3 linked regions of the Schizosaccharomyces pombe genome follow. The gene in region 1 interacts genetically with each later gene. Each region holds a gene or a part of one and is shown on either strand. Other genes may lie near its edges.

Region 1 (7,007 bases):
TTCCTCATCTAGAGAGAGATCGTCCATGTCGTCAGCAAGTGCATCAAATGCATTCTTAGGACTAGCCTTTTTGCTAGATTTTTTATTCTTGCGAACTGGCTTTTCGGAGTCCTCTTCTTCCTCTTCTTCAACGCTTTGTTCATCAGCAAAAGCTTCAAAAGCATTAGCCTTGGCCTTTTTAGATTTTTTAGAAGGCTTTTTTTTCACAGGAACAACTTCCTCATCTACTTCATCGTCTTCCGGCTTCAGATCATAATTGGAGTCGTTATCACTATTGAAAGCACTTGCTTTATTCAGTTTCTTTTTGTTCTTCTTTGCTTTGGATTTAGTTACAGGTTGAGGGCTTTCACTCTCAATCTCACTTTGTAAGCTTTCAAGCTCCAAATCAGCATCACGTTGAGTTGAACGCTTTCCCCTAGCCATTATCAAATTATTCTTGTTAAGATTAGATGAGTCTTCAATAAATGATGCAGAAAAAGTGCGCAACCAGCAAAAAATGTAATTTCAAAAGTAAAATAATCCTTGAAAGAGTTATTACAATTATTCTCTTTATTTAAAATTTTTTTTTAAAAGAATTGACCGATTATTTACCCAATTTTAAATGGACAAGCGACTTTTGCAGTTAGCTGTAGAGGTCAAATGGCATAGTGAAAAATTAATATATATGTGCAAGTGTTAGGGCCAACAGGAGGCAATTTAAGTCTGAACCTAAGAGGTTGAATTAAGAAAAATTAAACAATAAGAAGCATGTTTATAAGGATTCTTTGCTATTTACCATAAAAGTGTAGTCTCAGGCAATATTCGCAAAAAAACCTAGGAAATCTCTTACATTATTACATAGTTTATTAGGTAGCGAGAAAACCTGAATGATACGCTGGAAGAAATTTGTAAAGGATTTTTAGCTTTTTATTTTATAAACTTAAAGGGAAATTATAGTAATTAGGATCTAGTTGGGAGACTAGTCAACCATATATGGTAAAAAATACCTCTTAAATTTTCAGCCCTTAAGACGCTTGCACGGATATTTCCCCAGTTTATACAGTACAGATTTGAAGTAAACGCTTTAATCCTTTGATCCTGTGGAGAATTTAGCGAATTGTCAAAATCCCCAGGTCAACATTGCTCCATAAATTATGAACCTTTGCTAGTGCTAATGAATATTATTCAATTCAAACGAAGATGTAAGTCTGTTTATAAGTGAGCCAGAAAAAGTAAGGTCTCTTTAAGGATTTGCTCGAAGACAGGAAACTCATCATCATCTGAAACACTCATACGTCTCAATGATCGATCATTCTTTAAACGCTGTGGATTTATATAACCGGTATTTTGTCTTGAAACTTTGCGAATTGAATTCCATATTCTCAAAAGTGACGTTGAGAATGCTTCTTACTATTCCTGTTTGCGCCATGATTTGTTAAAATTGCAAAAGAAAAAGGTAATCCTGATCAAAAAAATTTCTAAATGCTCTTATACGCGTATGTCCAACTGCGTACTTATTACCAATGTTGACAGCTGTAGTACACGTACGGGGGATGTTTAAATCAATAGCAAAAACATCCTAAAAGAAATATAATCAATAAACGCTTTCAACGCTTCACAATAATTAAATTCAAACACCCAACTTTCTGATTTTCAATAACGCAATATACCTTCTTCTTTCATGTGTGATGTATTTATTTTACCAAAAATTTGATGGAATTAACTTTGACTTAGAATAAGAATTACCTTCTTGGATAAATTAGTTTTCTCAATTATTCATCAACTCAGCACACTGGCTTAAAAATTCTTTGCGTTCAACCATATTACCATCGAATGGGTTCAAAAGGAAAAAAGGGAAAATCATCGGAGGTTAATTTAGAAACTTCAAAAAACAAGGAAAAAAATATCAAAGGGAAAAAGAAAAACTCACTTGATCCAATTGAAAAAAATAAACAGGAAACAGCAGGCCTGCAAACGACTTCACGTCCTACTGCCAAACAGTTAGTAGGAGGAAGCTCTTGGACTGGAAAAATTCCTGTCGTTTTACTAAATGAACATTGCCAAAGAAGTAAATGGGAGAAAAGTGATGTTAAGGTGGTAAGTCAGCTCTTAAAAGATGCGAATTAACCAATCTATCGAACACATACTTACTAAAATCTTCTAAACAGAGGCAAACCAAATCTAAAAATTACATTTTTACTTCTGTCGTACTTGCTAAGAAGGACCCAAAAAACCCTTCGATATTAGACCATGTATCTCTGATTCCTCCCAAGTCCTATTATGAGAATGGCTACTTTCCTGAAAAAGAAACGTTAGTGGAAGCACGAAATGTTGGCGCCGTTTATGCTTTGCATCGAGTAAGGATCTATACTTATTTATTTTCAAGCAATCATTAACCAACTTTAATTTCTAACAGATAATGTCTCATAAATCATTACAACATGCCCTTCCACCTGAACATCGGAATATATGGTTTGATATGGAGAAACAAAAGAAGGAAGAGCTAAAAAATAAGCACAGCTGGCTTTACAATGAAGATCCCTTCAAAGCAGCCAAAGAACTACAGGCAGCACGCGCTTCTTCAGCTGCCAAACCACCGCCAAAAGCATCTCAGAAAAATGAAAAGGTCTCTTTGACATCTATCAAAAACACAAGCCTTTCACACTTCTCAAAGTTCAATTTCAAATATGCTCTTCCTATTCACATGAGTCTTGAAAATCGTCGCTCTCTAGAGAACCTTTTTCGCAATATGAACACGTGGGATATACTAGAGGATACAAAAAATTTAGAGCCCGATACTTCTATTGTTAATGATTTAATTTCTTTAGGTTTTCGAGACATTCATGCTAAAGAAGCTTGTCAGTACTGTGTTTCCCTTGAAGATGCTTTAGAGTGGCTAATCATTCATGTTCCAGAAGACGATCTTCCTACAAGATTTCTTCCTTCTGATTATACAACAGGAATATCTGTTCAGAATCTAAATTCAGCGAATCTGGCCATTCACTACAACGCTAAACGTATGTGCGTATGACATTTGTTCAACACTAACTATTAACAGGGATTTCGGAGACGGGCTATAGCTTTGACTTATGTTTTTCTACTCTTCAAACTTTTGAAAATAACATTCAAATTAGTTCAGAGTACTTACAGCAGCATCTAATTGGTGAAAGCTTTGATGGGAATATATCTTTGGAACCAAATAGTACCGAATGGGATGATGATGTTAGTGCTTTGCAATCTATTTTGGATAATAAGGTCTCAAAAATAGAGAATGGATGTAGAGTGCGTATTGACTACCCGACTAGTGAATTTGGTGAGCTTTTCGTCGATTTTAGAAGGCCTGCCCGTTCGTATCCTGCACACATTCCTTTAATGTCTCTATCCTCTACAAAAAGAATGGCATCCTATATTAAGTTGAGTATTCTTAAAAAGATGGTTGTTTACGCAATGGATCTTAGAGGTGAATGCATGTTATCCTGGTTGTATAATCATCTTCAGGAAAATATTGAAGACTTTTTACAAAATATTGGAAGCTTACTAAATATTTCAGCTGCAACAATTGGTGTCTCTTTATCCTCTCAAAACAAGTCTGCGCCGACTGCCAAAAAGAATAACAGTTTCAAGCCAAAATTATTTCGCCGTTCGCGCGAATTATCTGAAAAATTATGTAATAACTGGAGTGAGAGGGTTAAAAGTCCTTCATATCAATTAAAAGTTCGTGAACGTGAGAAACTCCCTGCATGGGAATCAAGGAGAAAAATTATGGACGCCATACAGCATTCTCAAGTTGTTGTTATAAGTGGTGAAACTGGTAGTGGAAAATCAACACAAGTAGTTCAATTTATCTTGGACCATTATCTTTCTTCTGGAGAAAAAGATTTGCAAACAGTTGTTTGTACACAGCCAAGGAGAATATCTGCGATAAGTTTGGCGGAAAGAGTTGCCTTCGAACGTGATACAACTGTTGGAAAAGAAGTTGGTTACAGTGTACATGGTGAAAAATCCATATCTAAAGAAACCCTTCTTGAGTTTTGCACTACAGGTTTGCTTCTTAGAAGAATTCAGCAACATGGTCTAGGCTTTTTGAGTACTTTATCTTGTGTTGTTGTAGATGAAGTACATGAAAGATCCATCGAAAATGATATACTCTTAACACTTTTGAAACTAGTAATTTCTCGTATCCCAAATTTGAAAGTCATTTTGATGAGTGCCACGGTGAACTCCGATACATTCAAATATTATTTTGGAAATGCTGGTCATTTACATATTCACGGCCGTACTTTTCCGATCAAGGATTACTACATTGAGGATTTTGCGCCTAAGCTAAATGAAGATGATGACGAGGAAGACGTTCCCAGAAGAAAGAAAAAAGAATATGAAATTGATTATCATCTTATTTCTAGACTTGTTAGTTCTATTGATGCTGAACTTGGTTCCTCTAGTGGTTCTATATTGGTTTTCCTTCCCGGTGTCTCAAACATAGCTCGTTGTATTCGTGAAATAAAATCAAAAGACGGCTCAAAATTTGAGGTCCTCCCATTACATGCCTCTTTGAATACTTCGGAGCAAAGGAGATGTTTCAAAACATACACAAAGCGGAAGATCATATGTGCAACAAATATTGCGGAGACTTCAATTACTATTGATGATGTTGTTGCCGTTATTGACAGCGGCAGAGTTAAGCAAATTGATTATGATGTTGAACGAGATCTGGTGACTTTTAAAGAGACTTGGGCCTCAAGAGCTGCTTGTCAACAACGCCGGGGTCGGGCGGGTCGTGTTAAGAAAGGAATATGTTATAAGTTATATACAAGAGGATTTGAAGAAAAAGGAATGCTAGGCCAAACACCTCCCGAAGTTTTACGGACGGCTTTAAGTCAGGTTTGTCTTAACGTAGTTCCTTTGGTCAAGAGATTTTCTTCTGCTGGTAATTCTGTGAACCAGGGTTCAATCAAAAAATTTATGAACAGCCTTATTGATCCACCGAATGATGCAACGGTAGACCTTGCTTTGAAAAAACTAATTCAAGTCGGTGCTCTCACCGTGTCAGAAGATTTAACTGGTTTAGGAGAATACTTAGTAAGTAATGATGTGTTTTTATGTGAAACTAATATAATTTTAGGTGTCATTACCCATAGATCTAAAGCTTGGAAAGCTTTTGGTGTTTGGTTCGATCTTTGGATATTTGGAACCTGCGCTTACTATTACAGCTATTCTCTCTACAAAGTCTCCTTTCTTAGGAGACGATGAAGCTAGGGAAATAAGGAGTAAACAAAGTCAAGGATGGGGAGATGTTTTGGCTGATGCTCGAGTATATCACAACTGGCTCGAAATACTAGAAACCAGGGGTGTAAAGAAAACAGTTCAGTGGTGTGAAGAGATGCATCTTCATTACACAACGTTACAACAAATTCGACAGAATCGAAACGAATTGAGCGAAGCTGCACAGCTACTTGAACTAACTACTAAAAAGCTGACTGGTAACTTTGATTGGTATTCAACTGAAAACCTGACTGTTCTATCGACTCTAATTGCTGCTGCTTTAAGTCCCAATGTTGTGAAATGTGTTTATCCTGATAAAAAATTTGTTGCTTCATTTTCTGGATCGCTTGAAATGGAGCAGGAAGCTCGCCTGACGAAGTTTTATGATCAAAACAACCAAAGGTTATTCATACATCCTTCAAGTACTATGTTTGTTAATTCTCCAAATGCTTCAAGATGTACGTTCGTGGCATATGAGCAAAAGGTAGAAACCACGAAACCTTTCCTTAGAAATTGTACACCTATCAATACATATGGAATGATTTTGCTGGGAGCAAATGATATACTCATTGATCCTCTTGGTAAGGGATTAATACTTGATCAAGCATATTGCATTAAAGCGTGGCCTAAAGTCGTTATTTTATTAAAAATGCTAAAAAGATGTCTTGATGCCTCATTACATGAGCGATTGGAATCTTCGTCGGGGTTAAACTACGAAAGTGAAATACATCAATGTATTCGTACTCTGATTGCAGGCAACGGTGTTTAGCTCCCCTTCTCTATTTCCTTGAAAGAGCATAAATGGTACAAATCACTTTTATTGTTCAAATGAGGCAGGTTATACCTAAAAAAAGATTATTATTTTGGAACAGTTTATGATCTTAATTTTTCAACTCAATACAGGACGGACACGATAAATTTTCTTTTAATATTTTATTGCCTTACTGACATTTAACATAAAAAAGGGATCATTTAACTCCGCGTCTACTTGCTTTAGGAGGTGCTGAATAAGATTGTTTATTTACCAACATAATTCATGTATTTGAAAATTATTTTTTTACTCAAACAACTGAAAAGCTAATACTTCCTTACCCGTTCACCTGTATTTACATTCCATTTTACGAGATGATAAATTTCATTAAAGTTAAGTGAAAACTTCGTTGTGCCTCAGTATCAGAAATATGGAGCTTAGCAACAGTAATTAGTATGTCTTTTGCACTCTCTGTAAGGATACGAAAAACTGTGTCGGCATTTCTTTGTAATGTATAATATAATGGAGGTAATATTACTTTGCTATCCTTAGTATGACTAGGGCTATAGAGTATACCATTATAAATATAATAATAACTTTTATCGACCTAATGGAAGAATGAGAGTTCATTTGGGCTTCATGCTTTTTATTAAGTTTTATTTTGGAATAAAGGATTAACTTGCATGTCATATTGTGAGTATCAGTCTCATGCCCAACGTTACTAAAGAGCACTCATTGTATAATGATAGCTAACGCCGCTCATATGGTGAATGATAACGATAGAACTAATTATACTGAAGCTTCGTTATTTCATTGTTATGACCCTCTCATTTAAATGACATATCTCGTACAACATCTCCTCCATTTAATTTACGAAAACTATAAATTGCCAAGTATTCTTTTCAATTCTTTGTTAAAGGATTGTAAGGTTAAGCTTGACGTTGAAATGTCTCTTTTTTGGTGCCCTTGATTGTCTCTGCCCTTAATTTACATGGACAATTCGAGAGACAAAATA
Region 2 (3,633 bases), on another chromosome or scaffold:
AGAGTTTTCCTTTCTGAAATATACGCTCTAAAAATCCTTGTCGAATTTTTAAGCTCAAAATCGCAACAAGAGCGGTCCGATACCAGTATTGTTATCGGCCAATTAGTCGGATTAGAGGTATGGTTTTCTTTATGTCTTTTTTTTTAACACCTTAGGCTTTGTATGAGAAATATGGTAAAGATTCAAAGATTTACCAAGTAGCTCGCGAGAATATGATGACTCTTTTGTCAATGATTAAGCAGGTATCCTCCACATATACCTTTATTTTACTTCCTCCTATCGATTCCTCCGAAACTTCTACTAGATATCATAAGCGTCAAGTAGACATGGAAGCATTCGGAGAAGAAATAGAGGAAGTCGTTGCTAGCTATGAAAAGAATTACAATGGTCGCTGTTATATATCTGAGGAAGCTTGCTCAAAGGCCACCAATGATTGTTCTGGTCATGGAAGATGTTCCAAGTATGGTCAGTTGGACTCCTGTTATGTCTGCCAATGTTCCAATTCCGTGGTTTCAAATGCTGCTGGCCAGAACAAAACTATTAGATGGGCTGGAGAAAGTTGCTCTAAGCAGGATATCTCTGTGGAGTTTCAATTTTTCTTTTGGTTTACTATTATTGGTTTTGGACTATTAATATTTAGCATAATGTTATTGTTTAGCATTGGACAAGAAGAATTGGCTAATGTTTTGACTTCTACTGCAACAGTCATCAAGAAAACCACATAACCTATTTTTCTGCTTTAATAATTAGATATTTTTAATGATATGTAAGAGTTGCTTCTTATGAAACCTAGTATATATAAATATCGTGCCTACATTTCTCCACATTCGACTATCGCAACGTTTGACTTGGGTCGTGAATTTGCTCCAACAGGAGTAGATTCAATTTCTTTAACAATGTCGTAGCCCTCAATTACTTCGCCAAAGACGACATGTTTGCCGTCCAAAAAATCGCAAGGAACGGTAGTAATAAAGAATTGGCATCCATTTGAGTCTTTCCCAGCATTAGCCATACTCAGTAAACCAGGGCGATCATGTTTGAGAGTAAAATTTTCGTCAGGAAATGTACGTGAATTGAAAATGGTCGCGCTGCCAGTACCATCTCCCTAATCATCAGTTAATATAGTCTAAAGGAATAATTGTAAAAAACCGGCTATGACACGGTCTTTTTTCTAACACATACACTCACAAAATCACCTCCTTGTATCATAAAACCTTGAATAATCCTATGAAAAGTACTATTTTTGTAACCTTTTGATTTTAATAATTAGTAGTCTGAATCTGATGGCCGAAAGTGCTTACCGATCGGTTTTTGATTAACTCCAAGCGTTTCTCCTGTACAAAATTGTCTAACTATTAGAAATAAAAATCTTGAAAACCAACAATCAATTGTTTGATTACCTGAAGTTTTCAGCAGTCCTAAATTCAATGTCAGCACTTTATTTCACAATAAATCAATAATTATTCAAGTTAAAAATTGGCTTTAGATTATTAATTACATACTTCGGGACTATACTGGAAAACAACCGGATCTTGATCCTTCCTAATAATCTCCCATCAATAGCAATCTATTGTCCAAAATTAGTATTTTCGAGAGTTTAGTAAATACGACGTCCATACATCCATAAAAACAACAGGTTCGGTGCTCATTTTAACAAGTTAATTTGGTAAATGTCTGGAAGATGCTCATAAAATTTTCTGGTTTGCGACTTGAAGATGCTAATTTGTATGTTCTCACTTTACTCGCTGGGTGTTGACGAACATTTGAGACTTGGGCTTTCACGAGTTGGAGGGGAGCAGAATTTCTACGAAAATCATTAAAATAATCCATCAAAGGCAATCATTTACACAAGAAAGAAATCTATTTTTCTTTGCTTTCATTATTCTTTTAATCCGCATTCCGTTATTTATTTATGTATCCCAGGAAAAGTGCGAAAAACAAGAATCCTTACAGCTAAAACTACGCTACAATTAGGCTAGCTTGTTTTTTTTTTTTTTTTTTTTTTTTTTTTTTTTTTAAAGAAACACTTTTCTTTGCTTAAAAATTCATATTATAACCGATGCTCCTAACTTGTAGTCGAAATCAACCTTATCCTCATACCTTTAAACCAGCTTAGTAGTAGTATACATCTATGTACATATACGTAAACAGAAAGGTTCAGTCAGAAGAATAAACACATAAATTGTCCAAAAAAATGAATAGGAAAGAAGATACAGAAACTGTAATAGCAGTTGTTGTAGTATACCCAAAATCATTATGTATTACTTTTGCTCCTTTTAGAAATTTTAATTTTTACTAGCGCTTTTAGATTTTAGAATATTTTAAAGTTGTTTTTCAACAGCTTTTTCTCAAACCTTGCTCACATGCTATGAGGATATACTTATTTAATTTACTTTATTTTATATGTTCTATATTTTCTATCTTTTTTTTGGCTCTGTGTTTTTTTAAAGTATTTTGATTTTGTAAATAAAAATAAAAATAATTTCAAAATTCAAAACGCTTCATATTATTAACAGTATTGGAACTTTTTTAAGACCTTATAAAAAGTTCATTAATCCGAAAGAATTGTTTTAAGGTAGTGAAGAGATAATTAAGCTATTCAATATAAAATTTCTATTACCTATAGTGTACTCGTTTTTATCTGTTTGAAATTCGAAATCCCCTTCATAGATATAATGTTTATCAATTGTTTAACAGGCAATATACATTTATCAGACCATGAATGCAGAGATTATGAACAACAGTAATAGTGTTTTTATGTTACAGTCTAAACAACGATAACAATTCCATGGTGCGAAAACTTTGGAATACTTTAGTTATTATTTGATACTAAAATACACAATTAAATAAACTAAGGAGTTGTCAGCATGATAAACTAGTTTACAAAAAATGTAATTTTTATACTTGCTTGCGTAAAATCAGGTTAAATAAATACTCATTCCAGCTAGAGAAATACAATAAATACCACTACAATAAATAAGTTAGTTGATTTTCTAGTACATCTTTCATTTATTTACTTTTTACTATATATACCACATTCACTTTAGGCTAAAATTAAAGTAGTACAAAAGAGCATTATTTGAGCCATAGTGAAACCAAAAAATCAAAAATAAATCATTTAATGATGTGTAAAGTCATTCTTTATTTAACAATTTACGAAAAAAAATTTACCACCCTAAATCTGAAAAATTCTTTTGGGCAGCGGAAATTTTATGTTTGACACAATTGCCTTTGAAAGTCACCTGCTTGATCGCGGGTTAAACAAAAATCGGGAAAATTTGCGGGATCCATATTTCGACCGAAAATACAGTATATGGAAAAATAAATATATTAAATAATAAAATACAATAGCAGAAAAGAAATATGAAAAAAATATATGTATATTATTTGTGACTGCTGATACTGTTATATACTTGTGACTCACAAAAAAAATCTTCACAATAACCTACTTCTCTCAAAAAAATCGAGGGTCAGTTTTAACTTCTTGTTGCTTGAAAATGAGTGAAGTTTATGAAGGTGCTATTGGTATCGACTTGGGTACTACCTACTCTTGCGTTGCTGTATGGGAAACCGCCAATGTTGAGATTATCCCCAATGACCAAGGTGCACGTACCACTCCCTCATTTGTCGCTT
Region 3 (4,335 bases), 1.4 Mb from region 1:
CGTCGACAGGCAAGGGCTGGACAGACCAAACCAGCAACTACACGCCCCATGGCAGAAGCTCGCGCTAGGCCTGGCGCAACAGCAGTTCCTCGCCGTTCACCTACATCTCCCCAGTCTGCATACGTTCCTGCAACTGTATATACATCTCCAATTGGCTCACCTCGTCGTGGCTCTGTTCGGTATACACATGTAATGGCACACCCGAATACAACTACTACCGTTTCTGAAAATTTGCCTGAAGAAGTCCCACCTCCATATAGTCCAGCTGCTACTGCAAGCAATACACCCCAAAATGAAGCAAGCCCTGCAGCAACCGAAGCTGTAAATCACGAACGACCAGCTTCACCACCACCAGTTTACAGACCTCCAGAGGAAATGGTTTAGCTTTGAATAGAAATGAGCGATTTTCTACAGTTTCGTTAATCCTTTCTCTTTTTCTCTTTACGAAACTAATTTACTTTAATTTTATTATCCAAAATAAATCCGTTTGTTAACTTTAAAACGGAATCTTCATGTTGAATTATTGCTCTCCGATATTTCTCCATGTTTTACTTTTGTCATTCAATGCTTCGATATGGCGATTTTTTATGTTGCCTTTAGTTTATTTATTTGTGGTAAAAAAGCAGGGATTTTTTACGAACATGATTACGAATGGTTTTATGGTTTTCTTTATGAATATTCGATCTGGACTTCAAGAAACTGATACGTTTAATATTCCATTTCGTGGGTTTTCCTCTTTTATTTTTTAAGTTTTGTGCATTCTATTTACTCTTTTCTCCTCAAGTATCACGCATGTTTCCTTGGACTTAGGATTGTTTATAACTTTGTACTTCCAAAAATTTGTTAAGCATCTGTTGTTCATTTGTAAATGTATGTTAATGATATATTTCCATGCGAAGAATAATGATGGCATTAATATTAATAAAAAATAATTTCTTTAAATCCTCTCACGATGCGACCTATAATAGATAATTAATCATTTCCGCGGTTTCTAAATTAGTATTCCAAAAAGTAAGACTAGCCACGTTTTAGTGACTCTGAGTCAGCAGTATAGCTATATACTCTGGAGAAAACATAGTCACGATTGTGAGTGAGTGGCATTTCGTTCGTGAATGAGGTATAATTATGGATGGAGTAGAAAGAAATCCACTTAAGCCTTATTCCACGAACTTGAAGTTTTTGAACGTATGTATAAGTTTGACTTGCGGGATACACAATTAGCATTTCTCCAGAAGGAGTCATTGACCAGGAGCCAGTGAGTGCTACGTTTCCATTACTAAACATAGGAGAACTCGACATAGGAGAAAAAAGACTGGTGTTTTGCACACTGAAGTTGCGAACAACATCATTTGGTTCATTACTGCTTTGATAAACGATACATGTTGAATTAGGATAAAGTCGTAAATACCGGTAGTATGTGATCAAATGTATGGGTTGGTTCCAGCTCGTGTCACTAGTTCCAGGTCGAAAGTATCGACAAACGGATATGTAGCATCCGTCAAAACGAGATCGAGGCTTTTTAAGGAACAAAGTCTTCCAGCTTTGCTGGTATTTTTCCACGAGTTCTTCCTCTATTGACTTAATAGACTGTTGCCATTCTTTTTGTTCACAACTGCAATAACAAAACGATCTATATAGAGAATCTGCTCGTAATGCCTTCGCAAAATGCTTACAAGTTAGTGCAATTGAAGAGAGATATCTTAAATCATGAAGGTCCCTAATGCAATTCTCTAGGATAACTAGCAAAACCTCGTCGGGAAGCTTCAGTATATTGGGAACGACCGACTCATTTACAGACTCATTTTCCGTTAACGTTGGAGATGGGACTGAGGAAACAGTGAGCATAGCTTCTGATGCATCTGAATTTAACATTTCCTCCTCTTCATTTCTTTTACACAGTTGCAAACGCTCCAAACGCCGATAGATAGATTCCACATCTTCATGGACTTTATGAGCTAATCGATATTTATTAAGAGATTCACCTAAATTTCCTTCTCTTTCAGATTTTATAGCATCTTTGTAATGTAAAAGTGCTTTTTTCAACAGTATATCCTTGTTCACTGTTTCAAGTTCAAGAGAAAGTTGATCCTCTACTGTACTCATCACTTATTTTATTTCTCAGACGAGCAATCGAAAGTAGATGTATAATTGAAAAAGAAAATATTTTCTTACTTATTTCTCTCAAAATAGAAAAAAAAAAAAAGAATTCAACACGAATATTAAGAGGTTAAGATAGTGCTGAACCTAACTAATGACTTTTATGTTTTTTACTTTTCATACAATTCCTAGCAAAGTATTAACAAGGATTTAAGGATTAAAAGCATCCTTTCACAAGACCTTACTTTGGTAACAATATGGTTTAGTTCATGGGTAGTTAGCCGTTGCGTTTAATATCAAGTTGTGGCGGTTTGATAACAAGAAGAAGAAGATTAAATTGAGTCAATCGTCGCTTCTTTACTGTTTAAAAAATGGACTAGATAAATATTGTAACATGTTTGAGATGCTATTTGGCTATGGGCATATTTGTAGGTGTCTTCGATTCTATCACTTCTAACAAGGCGTTAGGACTTGCGAAACCATTACATAAACTTAAAACTTGTTCAAATCAAAAGTTACTTGGCAATAAGCTAAGTGGATATTAGGATTTTAGCGATATAGAAAACATTTCGATTTGATGAATTATTGTAATAATTACCAGCTTCATGTAGCATTACTGCATTTATTTATGGTGAATATGATAGCGATTTTTATTGTTAATAAACGAGTAGATACATATCCCGCTTTGCTTTCGGATAATTCTCAGCATATCTTCGTCAAAAGCAATTGAGATTTAGATATGGTTTCGGGAACACAGTCGAAACCAAACTCATTGATAATGTACGATGCCTTCCAATCGCTATATGAATCTTGAAATAAGTATAAAAAAAATTATATATTGAAAACATTTAAAAAGCACTGTCAAGTTAAATCATTCAAGTAGCTATTTACTCATTCGCTCTCAATAAATAAAGCAAAGCGGAATGGTCCAAATAAAGTACATTTTAAGCTATTCTATTGTTTTAAAGTAGTAATTTTGTAGCTCTTTCATCCAAAAATCCAAATGACCCCTAATTCCTTTTTAAAAAAATTTTTTTCGTATTCTTTTAAAGAAATTCAAAAACTTCATGTTTACCATGACACATGTTTGATACACGCTGATATCCCACTATGCCTTCCAGGCAAATAGAATCAAACTTTGTATACATAATTCTACACTTTGCTGCATCACTGTCAAGGTTTCCTTCAGAGATGGTTCTCATCGGCATTCTAACAAGTTCAACATAAAACTGAGGATTCGTTGGGGGACCATACATCACAACAGCTTTTACACCCCTAAAGTCAAATCGACGGAAATGGTGAGCGCGCTCAGTATATAGCATTATATTGGTTCTACCTTGATAAAAAAGATTGCGGGCTCTAGTCATATCGGATACACTCGAATATTCTGATATGGCAGAATAGTTAATTCCCTCCTCATCCATGTAATTTCTCACACGAACAAAATCAAAATATGAAGGTATATAAACTAAAATACCACTCTGGGAATACTTCTTTAGTTGTACTAGTATAGAACCAGTAAAATAGGAAAAGCGGGCATCTGGAACTTTAATAATAGAATCGACAGAAATGCGAACAAAAGTTTGAGTCACTTTGTACCCCAAGCGGTTTAAAACACCGTGAAGAAGCGAGCGAAATTTAACCTTACCAGCAATATTTGACATGTAGTGAGAAAAGAAAGAATTTATATCTAGATTGTTATATTGAGAAAATAGTATAGTTTGGCGCATATATCTGGCTTGCTGATCAAGATACCAAGGACGAACACGACTGAAATCACAACCGTGAGCTTCTTTAGGCAAACCATTAAGTTCATCAAAAATGCATTCAATATGTTCCCAGTTTTGCATCACGAGAGCATGAGCTTGGTCAACCATTGCTATTTCAATCGAACTCAAATAATCGAGGTCTCGCTTTTTATCTCCCTTGTTACCAATAGCAAGACGAAGTCCCAAAGGACTAGCAACTATAATGTCAGAATTGTAAAACTGGGAAAATAGCTTGACAGTTTTTCTTGTAAATTTAACACCCAGTCGAAACATATCGTCGGTATTTCCGGAAAAAAGATAACGAAAATCTTCTGGCTTTTTTTCTGAAATGACTTCTTTTTCAATCGAGAATTCATTATCAAAACGCTTTCGATTTTCTACTTGATTAGTCCCAGAATATGAAATAAGTAAATTAATGAATTCAAAAGCACTATTCCTTGTGGGTAAAAGAATTAATACTTTAGGCCTG

What was found.
Region 2: mutations in ucp12 (region 1) and cyp3 together harm fitness more than expected from each alone (negative genetic interaction), as found in Schizosaccharomyces pombe (one large-scale study listed by BioGRID).
Region 3: mutations in ucp12 (region 1) and pof7 together harm fitness more than expected from each alone (negative genetic interaction), as found in Schizosaccharomyces pombe (one large-scale study listed by BioGRID).

The regions. Positions count from the first base shown.
Region 1 is NC_003421.2:1,016,097-1,023,103, reverse strand, and holds ucp12 (ATP-dependent RNA helicase Ucp12), read left to right. Parts: upstream 1-1,789; 5' UTR 1,790-1,812; coding exon 1,813-2,076; exon of another isoform or gene 2,077-2,108; intron 2,109-2,147; coding exon 2,148-2,336; intron 2,337-2,395; coding exon 2,396-2,996; exon of another isoform or gene 2,997-3,037; coding exon 3,038-5,058; intron 5,059-5,101; coding exon 5,102-6,010; 3' UTR 6,011-6,408; downstream 6,409-7,007. Other genes in the region: SPOM_SPCC825.01 (ATP-binding cassette protein), read right to left, coding at 1-423; SPOM_SPCC895.08C (uncharacterized protein), read left to right, coding at 6,984-7,007. UniProt on the Schizosaccharomyces pombe protein: Probable ATP-binding RNA helicase.
Region 2 is NC_003423.3:1,102,959-1,106,591, forward strand, and holds cyp3 (cyclophilin family peptidyl-prolyl cis-trans isomerase Cyp3), read right to left. Parts: upstream 1,712-3,633; 5' UTR 1,650-1,711; coding exon 1,620-1,649; exon of another isoform or gene 1,568-1,619; coding exon 1,503-1,567; exon of another isoform or gene 1,419-1,502; coding exon 1,401-1,418; exon of another isoform or gene 1,349-1,400; coding exon 1,302-1,348; exon of another isoform or gene 1,251-1,301; coding exon 1,183-1,250; exon of another isoform or gene 1,176-1,182; intron 1,106-1,175; coding exon 812-1,105; 3' UTR 726-811; downstream 1-725. Other genes in the region: SPOM_SPBC1709.03 (uncharacterized protein), read left to right, coding at 1-117, 156-725; ribosome-associated molecular chaperone Sks2, read left to right, coding at 3,498-3,633. UniProt on the Schizosaccharomyces pombe protein: PPIases accelerate the folding of proteins. It catalyzes the cis-trans isomerization of proline imidic peptide bonds in oligopeptides.
Region 3 is NC_003421.2:2,370,977-2,375,311, forward strand, and holds pof7 (F-box protein Pof7), read right to left. Parts: upstream 2,362-4,335; 5' UTR 2,104-2,361; coding exon 1,018-2,103; 3' UTR 538-1,017; downstream 1-537. Other genes in the region: SPOM_SPCC70.10 (uncharacterized protein), read left to right, coding at 1-384; U3 associated protein Utp25, read right to left, coding at 3,144-4,335.